3 linked regions of the Drosophila melanogaster genome follow. The protein of the gene in region 1 interacts with the protein of each later gene in a pairwise test. Each region holds a gene or a part of one and is shown in the gene's direction. Other genes may lie near its edges.

Region 1 (6,362 bases):
ACAACTTAATAAGAATTAATCAAACGAATATTATGTTGATTATATAAAAGCCTTGACCATAACGACAAAGAGGGAGTGTCAGAAGCAATGCGCCGACATTTGTACAGCCATCTACCAGCCCACAACTGGAATCTACAAGGGCGAAGTCCTAAACTTTGGTAACGAATGTGAAAAACGGGCTCACACCTGTCGTACTGGCCAGAGTGAGTTAAACTACATGTTTAGATATTACAGTTGACTTATTTCCCTTTATTCAATTTTACAGCTTTTTTGTAAGCCACGCAGAATGTTTTAAGCGTGAACGAAAGTAAATGAACTTTTACACCTAAATCTATTAGTTGTTTTTATCTATTAGGGCTCTTTGGGGCCTCAAGCATGAAACCAAATATCGAAGTCGTGTTTGCGTAACAAACAGCCAACAAGTCACGTAGAAATCAAGCGAGTGCGCTGAATAATATAAAAGTGTTTTAGTCACACCCAGTTTAAAAGATATGGTAAAAAACTATTGTTTAATAATAATAATTTTTAAAATTCGCTTTAACATAATATTATAAATATGTAATCCGTATAAATTTCATTTTGTTTGTGTTATATAAAAATGTACATTTATATAATATATGGCTCAGTATAAATATTATTCATCCTATTAATGGAATAGCACATATTTCGTATCTTATTATATTATATTAAATATTATTTAAACTAATTAAAGATAGAAAAGCGTAACTCCATGCATGTCCAATATAATTCACTAAAATTATCCACTTCTGTTGACCACGTGACGTTTGCTTTGGGGTTTTAGAGTTACAATTACCTAACTTCAATTAACTAATATAATTACAACAGAATAATACAGTAGCTTAATTACTTACATATTATTTGTGAAGTCCGCGAGATAGATTTAGTAGCACTTTGTAAACAAATAAATCTAAATAGATATATATCTTCTTCAGTGATCCCTTTCTTAACAGGAACTTAACATTTTATTTTAATATGAAACGTGAATAAAAAGCTGAAGAAATATGGTCACAATTCCAGTTTATGAGATTATTTATATTTTGGGTCACACATTTTAAAATAAGTTTTAGGTACATAACAGTTAAAACACTTGTATACCTAACATTAGTCGTTTCCAAGTAATCACACCTGTTAAATACACACATTGTAAAATAGTTTACTTTTAATATTCCGTGACTCTAAACTACACGTCCAGTCACACAGTCTTTACTAGAATCAGTTGAGAATTATAGGGCAAAATCAAAATAAAAATATTAAAAGACCATTATATTTAAGACCATTTGTAAAGATGTAAGCATGCGAATGGGTTCAGTCAACTCGGGTTGACCTGAGGGTTTAGAATTCAGAGCTCTAGGTAAAGAAACTCCCGAGTTGAACGTTCCTAGCCTGCATATACCACAAGGTTGTGATTTATGCCCTGCTTGAGAGTATTTATATTATTTAATTAGCTGCCCACTAGTGATGCTATTGCGGTGCTTATCTTTTAATTAATTTCTAATTAAAATGGGTTTCTTATTAAGTTTAAATTATTGGACTCGGTTTCTATTGTGCTCTGGGTATAAAACCGAAAAGGTTCCTGTGAATCAGCATCAGTTGAAGAAAATATGGCTCTGCGTTTCGTTTTCTTGCTGAGTGCTTGGATGGTCCTTGCCCAAGGATCCTTTCTGCGCAGATCGGATATTATTATCTTAGAAGCGAAGGTTCCCCAGAAAGGATATCTGCCTGTCGAAGATGCTTCAGTGCATCAAATCGTTCCTAACGAGTCATTGTCTGCAGGAAAAGAACATCAACATCAACGAGTACATCTGTATCAATTTCAATCGCATCCTCACGAGCACGGACCCCATTATCACCTAGAAGGGCACCATCACCTATCTGAGCCCCACCATCATCATCAGTTGTCTGAATCGCATGATCCTATCCACGGATCCCCTCAGCACCACTATCATGGTTCACATCCTAACCAACAACTCGAGGCACCATTTCAAGAAGTTCATGGATCCCACCATCAGCATCCAATCCACCACAACCATCTGGAGGCACCATATCACGGAACTCATGGTGTTCATCATCATCGCAACTGCCACGCCACCATCCATTGCCCCAGGGTTCATAGTCCAGCTTATGCCACCGATGGTCATCTCTGCTACAGGGTGGAGAACTCCTGCGCACTGGCCGTTTTGAACTGCCTGCGTCGCAATGAACTTAAGCCAGGTTGGTTATAAACATATCTAAAACATTTTCACAAATGATATTATTGTTTAATTGCAGTTTTGAGACACATCGGTCATCACGAATGCCATCGTCTGCCCAGCGCTTACAGGGCCCACTAATTCTAAGCTCAAGATAACTAAATATAAATATAAATATTTATATAAATATAGATATAAATATCTAATATAATATCCTAAGTTGTATTGTTTTCTTTTTCTGAAATATAATATTGTCAAATGAAATAATTTTGTTGTTGTCGGTGTTGTGTGTACTATTTACATAAATCTGGTTGTCCTATGTATGATAATCTTATGCATAAACCTATATTCGGAAGCCTAGATCTTTTAAATCTTTAAAGATAGAAGGTATTTAAAGATATGGTATCATTTACCATATATATAAAACAAAAAAGGCTAGCCTCCCCTCAGGTCCTCCTCATATTAATATCAGGGCCATTTTATGCCAATCGAAACAACTGTAACTTATTAAATAGATAACAAATTAAAATGCATTACAAAACAATCAATATTAAATGCCTTAGTAGATTTTCTCGACTATTAGATACCCATTACTCGTTGCCATTTAAGAATAAACGCCTTAGTCGATTTTCTCGACTATTAGATACCCATCAGTCGTTGAAGTCTGGCTTCAGATATAGATCCTATTCTGCATACATAATGGACGGACGGACGGAAATGTTGGCACGATCAACAAAATATATACTACAAAATGATTGAAAATTTGCTGTTTTAAACTAATCTAGTATTGTTTTGTGGTACATTAAATATTCGAATTTATCAAGTAATGGACTTCAAATATAATAATACATTTTAAAAATTTGGTTAGTCTACTTTAAATAATTACATTATATTACAATAAATTTATTTTTAATTAATAAGGGGAAAACCAGTATTTGGCTTGCATAATCAAGATGAGATGAGTTCAAAGTGCAATAAACTGGGTCAGCTTAGAATTTGGATCAGATTGCATGACATCACATACTATAATTACTTCAAAATGATGAATTACAGCTCTTGTAAATTCATACTTTCTGACTTTTCTCTGGTATAAAAGTCAAAAGTAAGCAGCACAAGGCATCAGTTGCTTAACAAAAATAAACAAATCAAAATGGCAGTCGGCTTCATTGTAATCTTCAGCGCCATATTCGTCCTGGCCCAAGGATCAAATCTTTTGCCCATTGAGCAGCAATCGGAGGTGCCAATCCATTCTGGTGCTCCAGCGGCAGTCATTTCGCAAGGACAACAGTCTGTGTCCCAGTCCGTTGGTTCTGCTTACGGTCAAGACCAAGGGTTGGCTGGTGCACGACCCTATTGGGCTGCACCTCGTCCTGCTCTGGCTGCACCTCGTCCTGCTGAGTCCTACGCTCGTCCTGCTGTGGCTGTACCTCGTCCTTCTGTGGCTGCACCTCGTCCGGCTGTGTCCTACGCTCGTCCTGCAGCCGTGGTGGTTCCTGCTTTGGTGGTTGCTCCTATTCGCCAGCCTCAGGGAGTCCCTGTCCCAGCCGTTGTAGGAGCTAGTCAAGGAAATGTGTACCATGGTCGCCATCATGGCTAAGCGTCGTGCAAATACTCTGCTCGAATCTCTTCCGGTTGACACACATTTTGGAACCAATTAATATTTACTTCTACAAATAATATTAACATAAATAAAAAAAAAAATGGAAAACAAATTTTATAGTTTTGTTTTATTCTAGAAATCATATTTCACAGTGCAATTTTGTAAATAAAAAACACTTGAGTATAAACCTATAAGTAAGTTAAGAAAATTGTACAGCTGAACTGTTCACATATTAGAGTATATTCTTAAACAACTCAATACAAGATGTTATCTCCAAATATATATAGCATTGTCTTTATATCGGCGTTGTATTTAACAGATCTTAGCAAATAATTGATTTAAAATATACTTCACAGTATACCCTTACTACTACTACTTGCCCTCTTCTGTTATTTCGACTTCTGTCAAGATACATTTCATTTAATCTTTTATATATTTTTGAATTTTGTTGAAGGTATTTTGGGCAGAACTTAGTTTTTTGTAAGAAAATATTTACCAAAAAGATATAATTTAAGAATTAAAAATTCTACCTAATTAATTAATTCAGCAAATGCATTTCATACATAAATATCGACCATTAAAAAAAGTATTTTTGAAACTAATATATTCCAATTAAATACATACATATATTAAAGCAAAGCTTTTAGGTTCAAAATCATTTATTTGACATCCAAGACAGCACTACTTAGATGTTTGAGATTGGTGAGTCAGATATTAATTGTTTTTAAATATTTAATTACATGCTTAGCTGTTCTAAATTTTGGGGTTGTCTCGCATGTATATAAGTTTTCCATTTCCAGCTAAAACCATCAGTTGTCTTACAAGCAATACTCACAAAGCTGAATATCAAAATGGCTCTTCGTATTATTTTTGTCTTCATTGCCACAATCGTCCTGGCGCAAGGATCAAATATTTCGCCAGTTGCGCAGGAGAATCTTGTGCGGGTCCATCACTCTGGAGTGGTTTCATCTGGAGCTCCTGCCGTTGGTGTTACCCAGAGCCGCTCAGTTGTTTCGCAAGCTCAGCGTCCTAACTATGGTCAGAGATCCATCTCTGGATCTATCGGAGGATCTCGTCGAGTGGGCGAAGTTCCAGTGTCCGGATCTCGTCCTCATGGTGGTGCTCCTCGTCGTTCTTCTGCAAGCGCTTATGCTCGTCCCATCGGAGGTGGAGCTACCCCAGGATATGTCCACCGCAACCGCAACCAGAAACCATATTAGAAACACCTTAAAAATTATACACCATCCCATCCCGATCTGACGAAATGTTCTAAGCCCTATTATCATTTAAATGATCTTATCACAGCTCTTTTATAACATAATTTCTAATAGCCATACTCTGGAAATAAAAATTTGATAAACAAAATATTTGAATATTTTATAAGAAATTGAGAATATCTTCAATGCAATTACTTTGGTAAAAAACTAAGTGCAAATACATACATACGAATAATTTCGTCTTTGATAATCATTATCTAATTCTTAACCGCTGAAAATTATTTTATTTTCATATTAATTAACATCGATCTCTTATGTCATAAGAAATTTTTTTGCCAACCAATTTGATTTAACAATTTAGACATGTATTCTATGGATAAACATTTAAATGGTCAAAAAATGTGTAATATTAAAGAAATTTCGAGGAAAATCTTTTAATTTCCCATAACCGCAGATCTTTCATTCGTCAAATACAAAAATACCTATCAGAGCTAATTGGTAGACAACAATTGTGAACAATCTGTCAAGATGAATTTTTAATGTCAGTAAAGCTTAAAGTTAGAATAGAAAATTCAAAGTTATAGTTATATATATTGAACAAAAAGTCTTGTTTACAACTATTGTTAAGTTTATTTACCTGTATTAAAAGGAAACAAAGTGCCTTTTTATATTATTAAACTTGATATGTAAATCTCCTTAATGTAAACAATTATTTTTTCGTGAAACAATGCCCTCCAATTTAAATCTTGAAAGGTTCGGAGGCAAATGAACTTTTTTCTCATGAAATCTAAAATGTTTAGTATTTGTTTAATAAGGTGCTTTGGTATTTTATAATTACATCAAATGAAAGCACCGGTCAATCTGAAACATTAATTCAAAACAACCAAGATGACAGCCCGCTACAGCGCCATATTCGTCCTGACTAAAGGATCAAATATTTTTCCCATCGAACAGGAGTCGGGGTGGCAGTTCACTCGATGGTATTTTATAAGTTTTTTAAATAAAAATAAGTTAAAAACTGTAAGAGCTTATTTTCCTCCATTTCTTACAAATGTGATTTATTTTATACATTTTAACTTTTTAAATGTGACCTTAAGGGCGTATAAATGACCACACGTCAAAAAAACATGGTTCGCCGATAATAAAAAATTGCCCATTTCAATCACTATTATTAAATTTTTTTGAAGCCTGTTAATGAGGTTAGTGAATGATATTTAACATTATGTTATGTTCGGGGAATTTAATGTATAAGGAAACGTGAAACTCCCGTGTAAGATTTGTTACACTTTTACAAGTCAGTAGATACATTTAAACTAATTATATCATTAGGGTTAA
Region 2 (7,201 bases), on another chromosome or scaffold:
CAAGACCCTTGGAAATCTATCGAAAATTATTATCACAACTGTATTATTTTTGCATTTTCCAAGGAGGAACATTAATAACGAGCTAACGCGCGAAAACTTTCACATATATTGGCCAAGTGTAGTCCTTAACCCAGTTTACAATATATCGAGCCCTGAAAGTGGGGCTGTGATGATTATGAGATATATATACAATTATATGACAGTGGAAACAGAAGCAGCATAACGGCAGACCCAACTAACGAGATAATGAAAAGGGATTAAACAAACAAGTTATTATATTTAATGTTAGTTGAACTACTAAAAGTAATGATTGAAAGCACGGATCGAAGGAATGGAGATAGGAGTTCCCGCGTGGGAGTGCGAGTAGTTTTTAGTTGGGCGCGTCGCCCAATCATTATGATTACAATTACAATTACGATTATGATATATGGAATACTAAACCTATAACAACAAGTTATTACCCCACTATTAAAGTTAACAAGCAACAACAACAACAACCCATACATATACATATATACGACTAGGCACAACTCTAAAATTAATTATAACCCTTAACTGTGCTTGTGTTGAAAACAACAAACATTAAGAACAAGTTTAAGCCGTAACGAAATAAAAGAAAGTGAAACAATTAACGAGAAATCCCCAAGCGCCACAAGCAACAACATATCTGCTTTAAATTTTACAAAAAAGGAAGAGAAATCTAAAAAAAAGTATATTAAACACGAGTCAAAGTTTAATAATTTAGTAAGAAAACAATACACAGACAAACTGACAGACACACGACCCACACATTATGCTTCCTTTTAAATGCAACATTTTATACATTTAATTATCGAGAATTAAATGCTTAAAATACAATTTTAATTTAATTTAACAAACTGTAACTGTACACGAATAAACGGAAAATGTAAAACTGTTTGTTTAACCATTTAAAGACAGAACTTGGTTTTATTTAACCTAATTTTATTGATTCACGATCATCGCAGCAAAGTGCACATTTTGAATACACTTAGAATGCAGGGAACAATTGAAAATTGAAAATGAAATTATCATTGATATGCATGTATTTTGCTTTCACACTGAAAATAATTGTTTTCGAAGTCGCAAACACACACTATCACACGTCTATAATTATGTAGTTGAGTATCCGTGTTAGTTTTTGGGTGTTTTTGGATTTTTGGTGATGTGTATAGAGCGCAGTATATAGAATGCATATAGAGATATATATTATTGTACGATTATTGACTAATATATAACGGATATGTATGTGTAGTACGTGAAAGGCAAGTTTATGGAGACAATTCACTTGTGTTGCAATATTAATGAACAAACGAAATAATTTACTTGTAAGTTGCGTAGTGCAAGCCGTGAGAATAGAGGTAACTTTCTCCACAACCCACACTCACTGATCGACAGACACATACCCATTAACCTTAATGATTAAACGCTGGGACAGCGGCAAAAATGTTTCCTAGGAGAAAAATTAACAGAAGCTGAAGAAAACGCTTGGAATGCCCCAATTAACGTAAACATTAAAAGCAACAAACAGTAACAATACTAAATAGAAACAATAATGTACTATAAATCAGATACAATACAACACTATATATACCTAAAATATATATGCCTATACGACAGAAATTGGACAACAAATGAAATATATATATATATAGTATATATTGTACAAGTTACGAGTAAAATGTAATTAAAATTTATGAAGTAGTAAGCACTAAACAAAACAAATAAATGAGCAGCAAAAACGCGCAGCATAAGCATAAAACCGGATTTTACAAGAAACTGAGTAACCCTGAGTAGAATTATATTTTTTGGTTAAGGATATTATTATGATTTCGTATCTCTGGGATACCCCGAAAACTATCGCTTCGTTTTCCCATCTCCAAAAGGATAAGTCGTTTAGGTAGCGCGAATTCCGCCCGATCTGCCTGGAAACCCACCCCTAAATGACCTTCGCACTAGGTAGCATCGGACTACTGACCGTGGCAACTGCGTGAATTCATTAGTATTCCAAGTACCACGATCGAGAACAGACCGCAGATGACGTCCGCAAGCGATACAGGTAAGGAATTGGCTAAAAACGAAAAAAAAAAAAACAATACAACTGAGCCTATTAAGACGATCGTCCTTCAACTTTTTAGAACCCACTGCAGTAACGCTGCTCCAGCTGAATGACGATGTCCTGGCTTTGATCATCCGCCAGCTGGACACGTACCAGCAGTTCCAGATTAGCAGGTTGAACAGGCGCTTGGCGGGCGTAGTGCACATGCTCTGGGAGACCCGTGTTCGCAACGTTGTCCTGCAGGACGAGATGTTCGGACGCTCGGGAGCCAATTCCCGACAGTTTGTGGCTTTCATCTTGGCCCTGGCTCCGCACATGCAGCACCTGAGTTGCAAGCAGTTGGATGTCCGAAGACTGCGACTGCTCAGTAACCACACGCTGGAGAGGATTCACTCTTTCGAGTGGCTGGGCAATGTGTATAGACGGAGACGCGTTCGCTTCGTGGATGAGGATGTGCGAATGCTGCAGAGGGTATTTCCCAATCTAAAAAGCCTCAAACTTAGAGGCTGCCAAATTACCGGAAAATACCTATGCGACCTGGATGAGCTTACCGATCTCCGCCTGCATGATTGCCATTTTCTGGAATCGCAACACTTTAGGGACATCTTCCGGCAGCTGCGACTACGCAAATTTGACATAATGGAGGACTGTGACGAGGTGAACTGCTGTGATCTGGCGGATCTGCAGCTGTGTCCCACACTGGAGCATATCAAGATTGCGGATTACCACGTGTGTATGGAGTCGGATATTACGCAGCAACTACTGACATTGCCAAACCTGCGAAAGCTGTCGATCTATTCCAGGAACTTTGTCTTTGATGTCCTATCGAGGATAGTTAGTCCCACAAGTCCTCCCGGCGATGGCCGACAAATTGAGGCCTTTAGTTTCAGTGGAGTTTTGCACGACTATGGCCGGTTCTTCAGGGAGCTGGGAAATCTTAGTCACTTGACGCGACTGGAGCTGCACAGCCAGCCAGAGGAAGAGGAGGAGAAGGAGGAGGGCGTCCAGGTGCAGTGCCTGGGGGATCAGATACTGCGGCAGCTAGCCAGTCAACTGGGTGAGCTAACCGAACTCCATTTGTGTGGCTATCAGTTGGAGAGTCCTTTGGGCCTGCTGGAATTCGTGATCAATTGTCGACAGCTGAGAGTCCTCGACATCACTCGAACCTTCTGCCATGGAGAATCCTTCGTCTGGAGGTGTATTGCCATTTTGGCCAAGCAAAGCTGGCGCATTCGCCCTCTAGAGCTGTGGATCCGGCATAGCGATATCAATCCGGAAATAGTTCAAAGTTCGCGCTGCGTTGATAACATAAGGCTGATAAAGGTGGATGCAAAACAGATTGGACCCAATACGGACTACACATCTGGCGTACTCAAGTTTAGCTTTGTGCGGTAAACCGCTGCCCCATGAGTGGGATATGCTCCAACTGATCAAGCTCCAAAATGAAAAGGTTTTAAACTGAAATATAGTTAAGTGTATACATTTATCAACTGCTTACCAAATAAAAAGATGTAAATATACATATTTGTAAAGCGATTTTTCAATGCATCATTGTTTTTACTGCCCTTAGGGATAAAAAAAATTAAATTCAAGTTGTAGTACACTTTAAAATTCAAACACCCAAGTCCTTGCAATCAGCGTCAATCCAAATGAAATTCGAGTTCAGAGCTAAAACCTCGTCGACAAGCCAAACTTTGGATCGATGCCCACGAGGATGACCAAATGCGCCAGCCCTTCCGCCGAGCCTCCGTCTACCTCCACCTGCTGTTAATAACCGAGGCCGTGATCGGACTGCTGATCCTGGTGGTGACCGCCTACTACCACACCGTGCTCACCGGCTATCTATCGGATATTGAGTGCCGCCTGGTCTACGGCTATCTGTTTGGGATCTACGTGTTTGGCGCCCAGGTGGTGGTGACCTTTCTCTGCAGCATTGCCATGTGGCGGCGAATTTGGCGGCGTCGCTGCACGCCGAACATTCGCCTCTTGCTATCCGTGTGGGCCTTCTACTCCTGCGTAATCATTGCCTCCGGTTTCGGGTGCGTTTGGAATCTTTACCGGGGTGTCGATGTCCTCGAGAATGCGGCGGACACCTCGCTGACCCGCGGCATCGACATGTACTACTCGTGTCCCGAGTGGAAACTCCTGTGGGACGGACTGCAGTGGCACAAGGAGTGCTGCGGGGTGCATGGCTACAAGGACTGGATGAACGCGGAGTGGATGCCACGGCGGGAGAATAACTGCACGTCGATGGTCCTGGCACCCTTCGCCTGCTGCAAGCGCTCCTGCGACAGCTGCTTTAACAATTTCCTGCCCAGTGAGGGGCAGTCCATCGGTGGCAATAGCCGGCAGCCTTTTCCCGCTCTCACCGTGGACTCAATCAATGCGAACGGATGCTTGCCTGCGTTCGTTAGTGCGGTGTGGAACTGCTTTTACATCCTGATGGCGTTATGGGTCCTGGCCCTTAAGTTTCTGGTAAGTAATTGGTAATGGGCAACGTTTTAAAGTCAGAACAATGGTGAATATTGGAGCCATATTCATTAAATTCTGTCAAATTCATTAGCGTAAGTCATATTGAAATCAAAAAATTTGAATATGCAACAAAATTGTATTTTAAGATAAGACCTCCCTAAGTCAATCATCTTTTTAGATCGTGCTTTGTTGTATGACCAAGTTCATAGTTCACCGGCAGAACGAGGGCGATGGCTGCGATAATGTGGGACTCACGGACGATGATGGACATCCCTTGGTCGTGGTGGTGGGTTTATCCATTTACTATCCATCGATAGCACCTAAATCAGTCCATTCCCCAGAAATATCCGTGTAACGTGCGCTGTGTAACAATTGCCGAGGATGATCTGGTATCCGACAACGTTCCCGATATTAACTACTGCAATTGCACCGAAATGGACGACGAACCGTGTGGATACTAATATTGTGCTTAATTTTACTTTTATATTTTATATTAATTTAATTAAATTTACGAATTTGAGTTAACTTCATATCCAATCGGTGAACGCAATATATTATTTATTGGATATTATAGGATACTTATTACATGGATGTTGTAACATTGGATGTTAAATGGATTAACGGCGCATCCTCTTGGATTTCTTCAAAGTCTGACCCACCAGTTGAGCAATATGTTTGCGCAATGCCAAGAAAGGCTTCAAGCAGACGCGCTGCTCGACGAGACCCACAGCAATGCGGTGAAAGAACTCGGTGACATCCACGGGCTTGGCCAGCAGCTGACCTTGTGATACCGAGCCGTTTTCCTCTGAGGCCTCGGGCGTAGGGCTACGTGCCATTCTACGGATGAATGGTTCCAAGTTGCCCCTGCTACGTTGGGAAACGCGAGCTCCAATGGACTCTGATAGCGCATTATTGGCGCGAGAGAAGGTGAGACGCTCCTGAGATCCCGAGTCGTTTTGATCCGGAGTCTCTGGCTTCTGTATCACCAGTTCGGGTGAGGTGGGGTTTTTCTTTGGAATTTTCGGAAACTCGGTAATTTCGGTAATCTCCAAAGCACTGTGGGGACGTCTTCTGTAGAGAATCCGAACCCGTTATTCCACGTTCTACATTACGAAACTATAACTTACGGTGTACCCGCCTCATAAGTGACATATGGGGACCAGTCTGCCCCATCCAAATCCATACTAAAAGGTTCACAAAATGAAGAAAAATGATTTTGTTTTATAACATTAAATTTACTCACTCATCTTCGTTGGAACAGTCATCATCTTGATCACTTTCCCTGATTATAAGGCAACTTAAAAATAATCTATCAAAACATTATATTAAAAAGACTTACACAGAAGACTCGCAGGTAATCTCGTCACTTTCGGGAGCACTAGAAAGGAAATACATATATTGTCAGTGTTTTTCTGAAGCTAAATTAATGAAGTCTTACGTAGCTTCTTGATATTCATCATCATCGCCCACAATATGAGGAACCTTTGATTGGGACCTGCAATGAATAATCCATCAATATATTTAATGAACTGCTTTAATTTTAATTACATTTTTAACAAATTTTCAACGCCTAGCTCCTGGAAAATGACAATGTGAAAAGCCGTGCGGCCAGTGTGTCCACTCCAAGGAATGTTTAATAAGAACATCAGTGTTGATCAAAATACTGTTGAAAACTTACTGGAGCATATGTAATTAATATATAAAATTCAGTTAAAGCTCAAGTCACGTGTTCTTAACATTTAGTAAAAATAGAAATTTATACTAAAGGTTTTGGTAAATTTGAGCCTTAAAATTTTGGTTAAGTTTAGCCTTAAAATGGCAGTTAAACATAAAAAGTTTAAATTCCTATAAAAAGACGTACCAGTGTTGTACAACAGGCTTAATTTACAAACTTCCAAATACAAATGTAATTATACATATTTATGTAAAGTCAAGCCATCACAATTTAATTCCACCTTTGGAAATGTTTTTATATATTGGGTGTTCGTTTTTATTGAACTTGACATGCTTATGACTAAATAGTTAAGGAAACTGGAATTGGAATAAATACAGCTCGACCAAAAACACAAGCCACAATTATGCAATAAATTCAATCCTTTAATGTGACATATAGTTAACTTATTCGAGTACTCTTTCTTAGACATATGTGGGCTATAAACATTGTAAAATCTCTACTGCATTCGATTGGGAAACATAAACCACAAGACATGGGCGGAAATAGCCTATTCCTGGCTGATTTCATTGGCATCTGAGAAATCCGAGACGGCGACGCTGCTGGTGCTGATTAAATGTCGATCGGGCATTTCGCCGATGGAAGGAAGAGTGGTGCTATCGCTGGCGCTGGACAAAGATATCTCCTCCCAGCTGACGCCGGAGTCGCATTCGTTGCCCGGGGAAACGGGTGTGGCGTCGGCATTGTGCGGCTCATCCTCCGGTGCCTGGCCAATGCTGATAGCCGGCGTTGCTCTGGAACGTTTGCCAACTAGTTCGACGTTTTGATTGCGATCCGCAGCAATGCGCTTGCGATCGGGAATTTGATTGCCCGTGGTGGGACTCCAGTCCATGGCACGGTGCACCAAAGCCCGAAAAGTTATACGGATCGGCTCGCTCGGTGGACTGTCCATGTCTGAGGGATTTCTTCTGGACACTTGC
Region 3 (8,057 bases), 5.0 Mb from region 1:
AATGTTGCCGTTTATATGTGGGAGGATGAGATAGTGTATCTTTGTGTGGGCTGTGGAGCTCGAGGTAGAGATAACGGCTCTAGTCAAGCTCGGAAGGCGCACCTTCATGCAGCGATACCTAAATATATCATGAAGTGACTAAGGCCAATGCAATTACTCTAATCTTAAAACTATTTCAAATTTAATAATATGTTAAGCTACAAGAATCAAACTACAACTCACCCATGGGCATGCTTTGGTGAATGGACAGATCGCCCAGGCCTGCCAGGAGATCTGTAGCCGTTGTGGCTGCTGCCGTCGAGGTGGGAGCTGAATTAAACAGGTCAAACGAATCGTTCGCCGGCGTGGCAGTCTTCAGCAAATTACCGTCCAGCGCAGATGTCGACGTTGTCGAGCCTTGGAACGCCGCAAAGTCGGCGAACTCATCGTTCGCAGCCGGAACCAGGCCCGTTGATGGTGGCTCGCTGATCGTCGATCCCGCCGAGGGCTGCCCGAAAGCAGAGGCGAAGTCGCCGAATTCCTGCTGGCTAGCATCGCTGGCACGCGGATTGAAGTCATCATCGTCATCCACAATCACGGCAGCACTGTTCAGCGTCTTCTCCTGCCCCGGCGGTGGCGAGCAGGTCTTGAACAGATCGTCCAGCAGATCGTTGTTATTGCTTTGCGTATTATTGTTTGCCTTGGAAGTAGACGGCGATGGCGAAGCGCCGCCCATCAAGTCCACGCTGGTGGGAGTGTCACGGTGAGTTGGTGAGTGAATGCCAGCAGCACCGCCAGGAGCTGGCTTTCCAAAGTTTGCTGCCGCACCCAGATCGATCTTCTTCTGGGACAGCGCTGGCTTGGCAGAAGCCGTTGAAGTGGGCTGCTTGGAGACAGGGGAACTGACGGTCTTCGAACGAATGTTCATGTTGAGGCTGGAAGGTTTGGCCTCGCTGGCTACTTCGGCAGGACTCGCACGGTCATTGTATCGATAGTTACGTCTGTGAGGAGAAAAGAGTACATTAGGATATAGAGCAGGTTAATCGGAAAAGTGAAAACTTGCCTTGGACTGGGTGAGTCGCTATCGGATCCCTCTCGCTCTCCATCGTAGTGAGTATCATCATCCTCATACCGATCCTTGTCGGCGCTTTTGTCGGAGTCTGAAGAAAAATCATCAATATTAATATTACATATAGAGAATTTGAACAAAAATCTTAAAAAAATAAAAATTTCTTACTTACACCAATTGTCTCCACGACTAGAGCGATAGTCGCCATCATTGTAGCCACCGCTGCCACCGCCGCCTCCTCCAGATCCACCGCTATAGCCGCTGTAGCCACCGCTTCGCATGCCCATGGCGTCGCTGCTCATGCCGATGTACTTGTCCTTGTTCTTCTTCGCCTTTTTGCGCTCCTCGCGCAAACGATCATCATCCTGAATAAAGTCTATAAGCTCTCGTACCTTATGCCTAACATTAATACCCTGATCCTTGCCGCCCTCGTCGGTGAATGTATAGTTCTCCAGCGAGCGCAGATCGTAGATGTGCTCCCGAGAGGAGGTTACCACCCGTTCAGAGCCGTTTCGCACCAAATAGTTTAGCAGAAGGAGGCTCTGTAAGTAAATATATACTCGTTAGCTCTATATTTATTAGTTTAAACTGAAAACGTTACCTTGTACGTGCGTCGCCAGTTGGTTTTATTGTCCTGCAGCATGCGCTTCCACAGCATGGACATCACCTCCGGGAATGTTTCGTATGAGAAGGTGGAATAGGCCAATTCCTGCATGAGGGGTCCTGTAGGCCCCCAAGGATCATCGTTGGTGGCCTCCCGCACCTTGCCCTCCGTTTCCGTGTAATTCATCACGACATTGGTGCTGCAAGTGGGAACGAAGTCATTGTTTTATTTTAAAGTAACTATTAACTATTCACGATGTTAGTCGTAGAACTTTTGTACATATGTAAATACAAATCTTAATCCGAGCTTGTTTCCTTAAATAATTGATATATACTTAAGTAAAGAAAAAAGGCATATTGACTGGGACATTCCGTAAACTCAATTGAATAGATAATCAAATAGATAGAGGGCCAGTTAATCAGAACTGGTATTTTTAAGTAAACGTTGTGTGACGATATGGATATACAATGCAAAGATGCAGATAAATAAGTAATACGCATGGCTTGGCTGCGACGTTGATAGACGTTCGAAACGTGATGGAAGTGGGCCAATTGTCGCAAATGGGCCATCTAGGTGTTCCTTATCAGTTCGAGATAAGCCCTAGGAAAGGTGTACCCGCGCACTTAACCTAATGAGTTCGGTGTTGGCTATCGAGCCACCATTATTTATTCGAACTATAGGCTCGCTTTTAGAAATAACTACCCCATAAAAGGCGCAGGTGAAAGGGGACACCCATAATTAATAATTCGATGGGGGAAAGAGAAACACCCATTTCACTGGAAAGCCTGGAAGTGGAGCTGTTAACACAGGTGAAAAAATTGTTATATTTGGGCAGTCGAAAGCAAACAAATTGTTTCTTGATAAAGCCCCACACACACAGGCGCATATACACATGGATATCAATATCGGAATGTGGCTGTGTTGGTAAAGCTCTCTTGAAATGGCGAACAACCTTGAAAGCAGTTAAAAACGTGAACCTAATCCAGCACCCCGATGCAGTTGATCCATAAGTAAGATATCTTTATGAATTATTAGGGATTTATGCATGACATAGGGCTTTTGAAATCCTTGAGGAGTTGGGGGCGTGGCGGGAAATCAGAAAACTTGGGGCGTGGGAGTCTTAACATTCACTTCGGCGTTAAGGGAATGTTATACACACATCCCATTACATATACGTATGGATATATCCTATATATTCCTGATCACTTACACCTTGTCCGCCAATTCGCGCACTTTCCACATGCTGATGAATTTATCCACCATTTTGAGACTATTGAATGCTACGGAATTTTTCACACAATCTCGTCGAAAAGTGGCTGGAAAATCCAACTACAACAAGACGTCGAACTCGTTTTCGCTTGGCGTGCCGTTTTCTGACTGTTTTGCAGCTGACGATTTGCACTTTTGCATGGAAACGGCGCACCTGTCTCGCACCCGCGCTTTCCGCAAACAAAAATGTAAAAATTTAAACGAAAATTGTAAAACAAAATCACAGCAGCTAATATTTGGTGAGCTGTCGTGTCCAGTGTTGCAAACAGTGTTTCCAACTCTCACTGTTCAAGTGTAGCTAAATCCGATAAATAGCTGTAGCCGTTATTAATGAAAATTAGCTTTTTAAATTTGTGCTCCAAATAGTTCAATAAAATATTAGTTTTCTTATTAATAAAGCACAAAGAGAAATCGGCATAGTTATAAAATGGGAACCATTTACCAATAACCGAAATAGTTCAATAAAACATTAGTTTTCTTATTAATAAAGCACAAAGAGAAATCGGCATAGTAATAAAATTGGAAGCATTTACCAAATAACCGAAAGCACATGCAATGACACCTAAGTTCCGGAATAAAAAACGCCAGATCTAGCTAGAAAATGCTGAGTTGGCAGCACAGCTCGCAGTGTTACAAAAGCTTTGCATGGAGCCGACGGGTCTTACCCTACACTACCATCAGCTGAACGCTGCTGTCATCTGTGGATTCTCAACGTTCAATAGGAAAGTTTACTAAAATAAATGAAAATACTAAATGAAACGTGAAGGATATCAGGGGAAATAAGACGGTTCAAGTCATGAATATAAGCCTATATCATTGGCATGCTTTGTAAAGCCCCTTCCTGGCCGCTAAAAATGTAAACAAAAAGGTTATGTAAACTTCTGTGGTCTCTTGCAGCGTGTGGATTGACTGAAAATGTTGGGACTACAACGTTTTGCCGGCAGTTTTGTCACCCAGTTGTACCGCCGTGCAGCCTTCAGCAGCAGTGTCCGGGCAGCGGGCATTCCCGTGGCGCCCACTGGAGCACAATCGGATGCAGTGGAGCCGGAAGCACGCGCGCCGGCTGTGGAGGAGGCGGCCAAAAAGCCCAGGGGTAGGTAGATTCTAAAATTGTTGTCCTCCTTACTAATTGGTATTCACTCCATCCTTATTGCAGGCCACATGGTAGCCGCTGCTTTCGAATCCCTTAGAAACGACGATCCCAAAGATGAGAGCAAAAGCCAAGCCTCCAGCAAGATCGATGAGCGTATCATCAACGCAAAGACAGTCAATGGACTGCTAACTATCACGGAGAACAACAATGGCTTCTCGAGGAAGCATGCCCTCAGAATTGTCTCCATACTGGCCGAGTGGAGCACCTTGAATCGAGTAAAGATCTCGGAATTCGAGAACGACACAAGGTTCCTACGTATTTGCCGGATGTTGGGCCGGACGGTTCCCAAAAATAATAATGCTAACAACAAGGACCTTGGTGACAATGGGACGGCCAAGCGGATTTCCGGCTTCCGAACAGATGACCTAAACACGGTGCTTGGCGTAGCTGGTGACGATGAGGCCGCTAAGCTGATAGCTAGCATCAGTCTGCCCCAGATGGTCAAGGTGATGAGCACCCTGGCCCAGCGGAAGAGGCGTAGTACTCCTCTCTTGCGCTCCCTGGCCTTTAATATCAGCAGCGCGTCGGAATCGCTGGATTTAAAGCAAGCGGGGGATGTGCTGTTCGCTATGTCCACGTTGAATTTCCAGGATTCTGTTCTAGGCGCTAAAGTGTGTGCGGATGTGCAATCGGCGCTGCCTAAGAATGTGGAGAAGTCTGCCGTTGTGGGATCCATTATCACCAGCCTGGGCATTTTACGATACCGGGATTTGGGTTAGCTCGGATATAAACACATCAGAAAAAGTTGTGATTAATGTAATTTATTTTTTTCGGTAGATATCTTGGAATCACTTACGCAGTGGCTTTTAAAGAATAGTGAAATCTGTCGCCCCCAAGATCTCAGTGCCTATTTCCTAACATCGGCCCTGCTAAACTTCAAAAGCGCTCAATTGGAGGAAGTGAGCAAAAAGCTAGTAAAGTCTATTGTCCGCGAGGATTTTACCAAGCAATCCGAGTGGTTGAGCTTTGTGTGGTCGCTAACAATGTTGGGTCTAGTAGAACACGGCCACTTGGCTTCTGTTTTGAGGTTTGTTCTTTGAAACGCTTGAAAATCTGGAATTAAAACTTAAATTTGTAATTACTTTCAGTGCGGACTTCCTAGAGACGTTGAAAAAGGACAAAGCTGGTGTCACAGCTACCTCCAAAATGAGGCTACTCAACTTGAATAGCTATGCCCAGTTAATAGCCACAGATTACAAGGGTCCACTATTGCCCACTGACAGTCCTGTCTATCAGGTGCCCATGGCTCATCCTAAAGCAAAGCAAGTGCTTGTAAATGGAATGCTAGATGCCCTGAAAAGTCTGCTGCCGGCCAGCAATCATTTACAAACTGCTGTAGACACTAAAATGGGCTTCCTTATAGGTAAGATATTCCTTGTTAATGTGTACCATATTCCTGATTAACTGTCGTTTCAGATGCACTGTGCCATTTTGATGCTAACAAAAACCCCCTGCCTTTGGACAAGGAAAATCCGAATGCAATAAGGCAAGTTATTACACGTTTTATAAATTAACTTGATTATAATGAATGAAACTTGATTTCAGGGTGGCGCTGATGGTCATCGATTTCCATGACATTTGCCACGGAACGCATCGCAGTGGCAGCGGCGTTACGAATCTGACATTTGATCTGCTAGAGAAGAGTGGTTACCACGTTATTCCCGTGCCCTATAATGAGTTCAGCACCAGTGACAAACTACTGAAACGCGTTCAGTATTTGGAGTCAAAGTTCAAGGCGATTGCAAGTAGCAAATAATTGCAGTTATAGTTTATTTAATTTTTCTTGTAATGATTGATCAATATTTGAATTGTTAAAATTTTGTAAATGTTAAATTAGGCGCTGAATTACAAGCTAAACCCAAATTTCGAAAGGTGAGTTACTGGGAGTCATTTTAACCACATAGTTTAGACGGCATCCAGTTTACTGGAACGTTGCTTGTTCATGCCCACTTTCCACCATTGGCCCGTTTCCTGGAACTCGGTGGCCACAGCAGCTAAGGTGTGGAATAGGCTGCGAGCCAGCATGTGAAGATTACCGATGTGCAGAACGAACTTGGGATCATACACCTTCTCAATGTCATCGATCTTGTAGTGATCTCGCGTCTCCCGTTCCGTCAGGCAAATACAGTTCCACGGTGCCCAGTCATCGCTCTTGTTCCAACGCGGTAATCTGAAATAGATATATTTGACGTTTGATTTTTAAACACTTCATTGTGAAGGGGTTACCTTAGTTCACTGAGATTCTCTGTCTTGCTTAGAGCCGAATGTCCATGCCATATTTTGTCTATGATGTGGCGAACATCATCTGGCTGCATTACAAATGCAAAGGATGTGGTGCACTTGCGTTTCCGCTCATCTCGATGGATGCACCGTAGAATGGACTGGTACACGGTGTTCTCAGTAGCAGTTAGCTATGTGTATGTATGAAAATATTTTCGATTATAATATTTAAAATGTGGAATAAGGAATAACCCACCTTTAGATAGTAACAGTGCTTGCAGGTGTCCACATGGCTCTGACGTGTCCGAATGGCAAACTCGGCATAGGTCTTGACCTTTTTGCATACAATGCACATGCGCGATGGAATCCCTAAAAATCACAATTCCCAAAGATTAATACAATAAATAGATATATACGTATGTTCAACACTTACTTTGTTTGGGCTCGCCCTTTTGGAACTTTATGAGATCGAAAAAGAGCATTGTCTGGCGTTTGCGCAAGATTTCCACGTCAAAGGACTTGGCATAGAGCAAAAGATTCTTTTCGCGATCAAAGAGATCAAAGAGTTCGGGAAAATGTGGGAAGCAAGTCTCCTCGGTGAGCACTGCCATGACTTGTCGGATGAAGTCTAAGCGGTCCTCCTTGCTGCGCGGCTTTCGCAGATCTTTGTAGATCTCGGTGAGGAAGCGAACTCGCTGTGTGCTCAACAGATCCATGTGGATTTTGGAGTCCTTGTAGCCAACCCACTCGATCGGTTTGCCCATCTCCTTTAGCAGCTGATCTTTGCGAAAATCCTCCATGGCCTTGTAGACGAGATTACGCTGCCGCTCCACGCCATTAAGCAGCTGAATCTCCTTGTCCAGCAGGATGTTCACCTCGGCAATGCGAGCAGGCCCCTCATAGTTGGCGGTAATACGCTTTAGCTCCGCCTTTTTCCAACGAGCCACCTCAGCATATAGCAGATCGAAGTCATCCTTGTTGCGTGGGAATTGCTTGATCACCCGGTGTCGCTCCATGCGCTGTTCCACGCACTTCTCATACCGCTCATCCTCGTGCTCGCGATTCTGCACCAGGCGACTGGTAGGGGTTTATAAGATAAGATATTTAAGTTTCATAATTTAAATTGAATATAGTCCACCTACCGATACTCTTGCGCCCGCAGGTGAATATATTTCCACAAAATCCAGCGCCTCCAGTTTCGCTGGATGAGCAAAATCTTTTCGAGCTTCCGCTCTGCTCGCTCCTTCTGGGCAAAAGTCTGGTACTTGCCAGGAACTATGGTAAAGTCATTGGCGGCGGAAACATATAGTATATTAATACCATCCAGATGGCATTGCACCGATTGCTCATGGGCTGTGTTCTGAAAAGAATTTTGGTATAATTGATCGCAATATACATAAATCGAAGTTGCTTGAACATACCAGAGTCTTTTCCTTTTGCTCCCATGTCTGGGTATCCCTGGTCTTGTACTTCCTGTACTTCATCTTGTCAAAGTACGGTCCAGTTTGGGTAAATGCGTCCAAGTACTCTTTGCCCGTTTTTTGATCCCTATAGCCGCAGAGGAATGGCTTGACTATCGCTGCATTCTCGATCTCTACGACCACGGTTTTGGACTGGCCATCCTGGGTGTCATCACCAGAGATGTGGACAGTGATAAAGTCGGCCAGACGGTGTTTGCTGATAAAAGGTTACGTGTAATATTGGTTTAATAATGCTATTCGCTTCACCTACTCATAGTACACATCCAGATCTAGCTTGGAGGT

The links. Proteins that work in one complex are often made in the same cells at the same time.
Region 2: the proteins of CG33333 (region 1) and Tsp33B interact in a two-hybrid assay, tested with the Drosophila melanogaster proteins (one large-scale study listed by BioGRID).
Region 3: the proteins of CG33333 (region 1) and CG13850 interact in a two-hybrid assay, tested with the Drosophila melanogaster proteins (one large-scale study listed by BioGRID).

Annotation. Positions count from the first base shown.
Region 1 is NT_033777.3:17,414,124-17,420,485, forward strand, and holds CG33333 (uncharacterized protein), read left to right. Parts: upstream 1-3,343; 5' UTR 3,344-3,360; coding exon 3,361-3,807; 3' UTR 3,808-3,919; downstream 3,920-6,362. Other genes in the region: CG42822 (uncharacterized protein), read left to right, coding at 51-203, 266-276; CG5866 (uncharacterized protein), read left to right, coding at 1,623-2,232, 2,290-2,351; CG42834 (uncharacterized protein), read left to right, coding at 4,662-5,030.
Region 2 is NT_033779.5:11,788,902-11,796,102, reverse strand, and holds Tsp33B (tetraspanin 33B), read left to right. Parts: upstream 1-3,737; 5' UTR 3,738-3,799; coding exon 3,800-4,552; intron 4,553-4,727; coding exon 4,728-4,835; intron 4,836-4,890; coding exon 4,891-5,010; 3' UTR 5,011-5,078; downstream 5,079-7,201. Other genes in the region: CG14937 (uncharacterized protein), read left to right, coding at 2,056-2,077, 2,157-3,472; CG14932 (uncharacterized protein), read right to left, coding at 5,167-5,620, 5,677-5,733, 5,793-5,831, 5,889-5,927, 5,988-6,044, 6,098-6,099; CG14931 (uncharacterized protein), read right to left, coding at 6,772-7,201.
Region 3 is NT_033777.3:22,406,443-22,414,499, reverse strand, and holds CG13850 (uncharacterized protein), read left to right. Parts: upstream 1-3,584; 5' UTR 3,585-3,643; intron 3,644-3,690; exon of another isoform or gene 3,691-3,749; intron 3,750-3,818; 5' UTR 3,819-3,836; coding exon 3,837-4,014; intron 4,015-4,077; coding exon 4,078-4,788; intron 4,789-4,851; coding exon 4,852-5,101; intron 5,102-5,162; coding exon 5,163-5,437; intron 5,438-5,490; coding exon 5,491-5,560; intron 5,561-5,619; coding exon 5,620-5,830; 3' UTR 5,831-5,934; downstream 5,935-8,057. Other genes in the region: lqfR (liquid facets-Related), read right to left, coding at 223-980, 1,043-1,139, 1,221-1,590, 1,650-1,851, 2,863-2,915; CG13855 (uncharacterized protein), read right to left, coding at 5,980-6,244, 6,301-6,485, 6,551-6,663, 6,728-7,371, 7,437-7,654, 7,716-7,971, 8,026-8,057.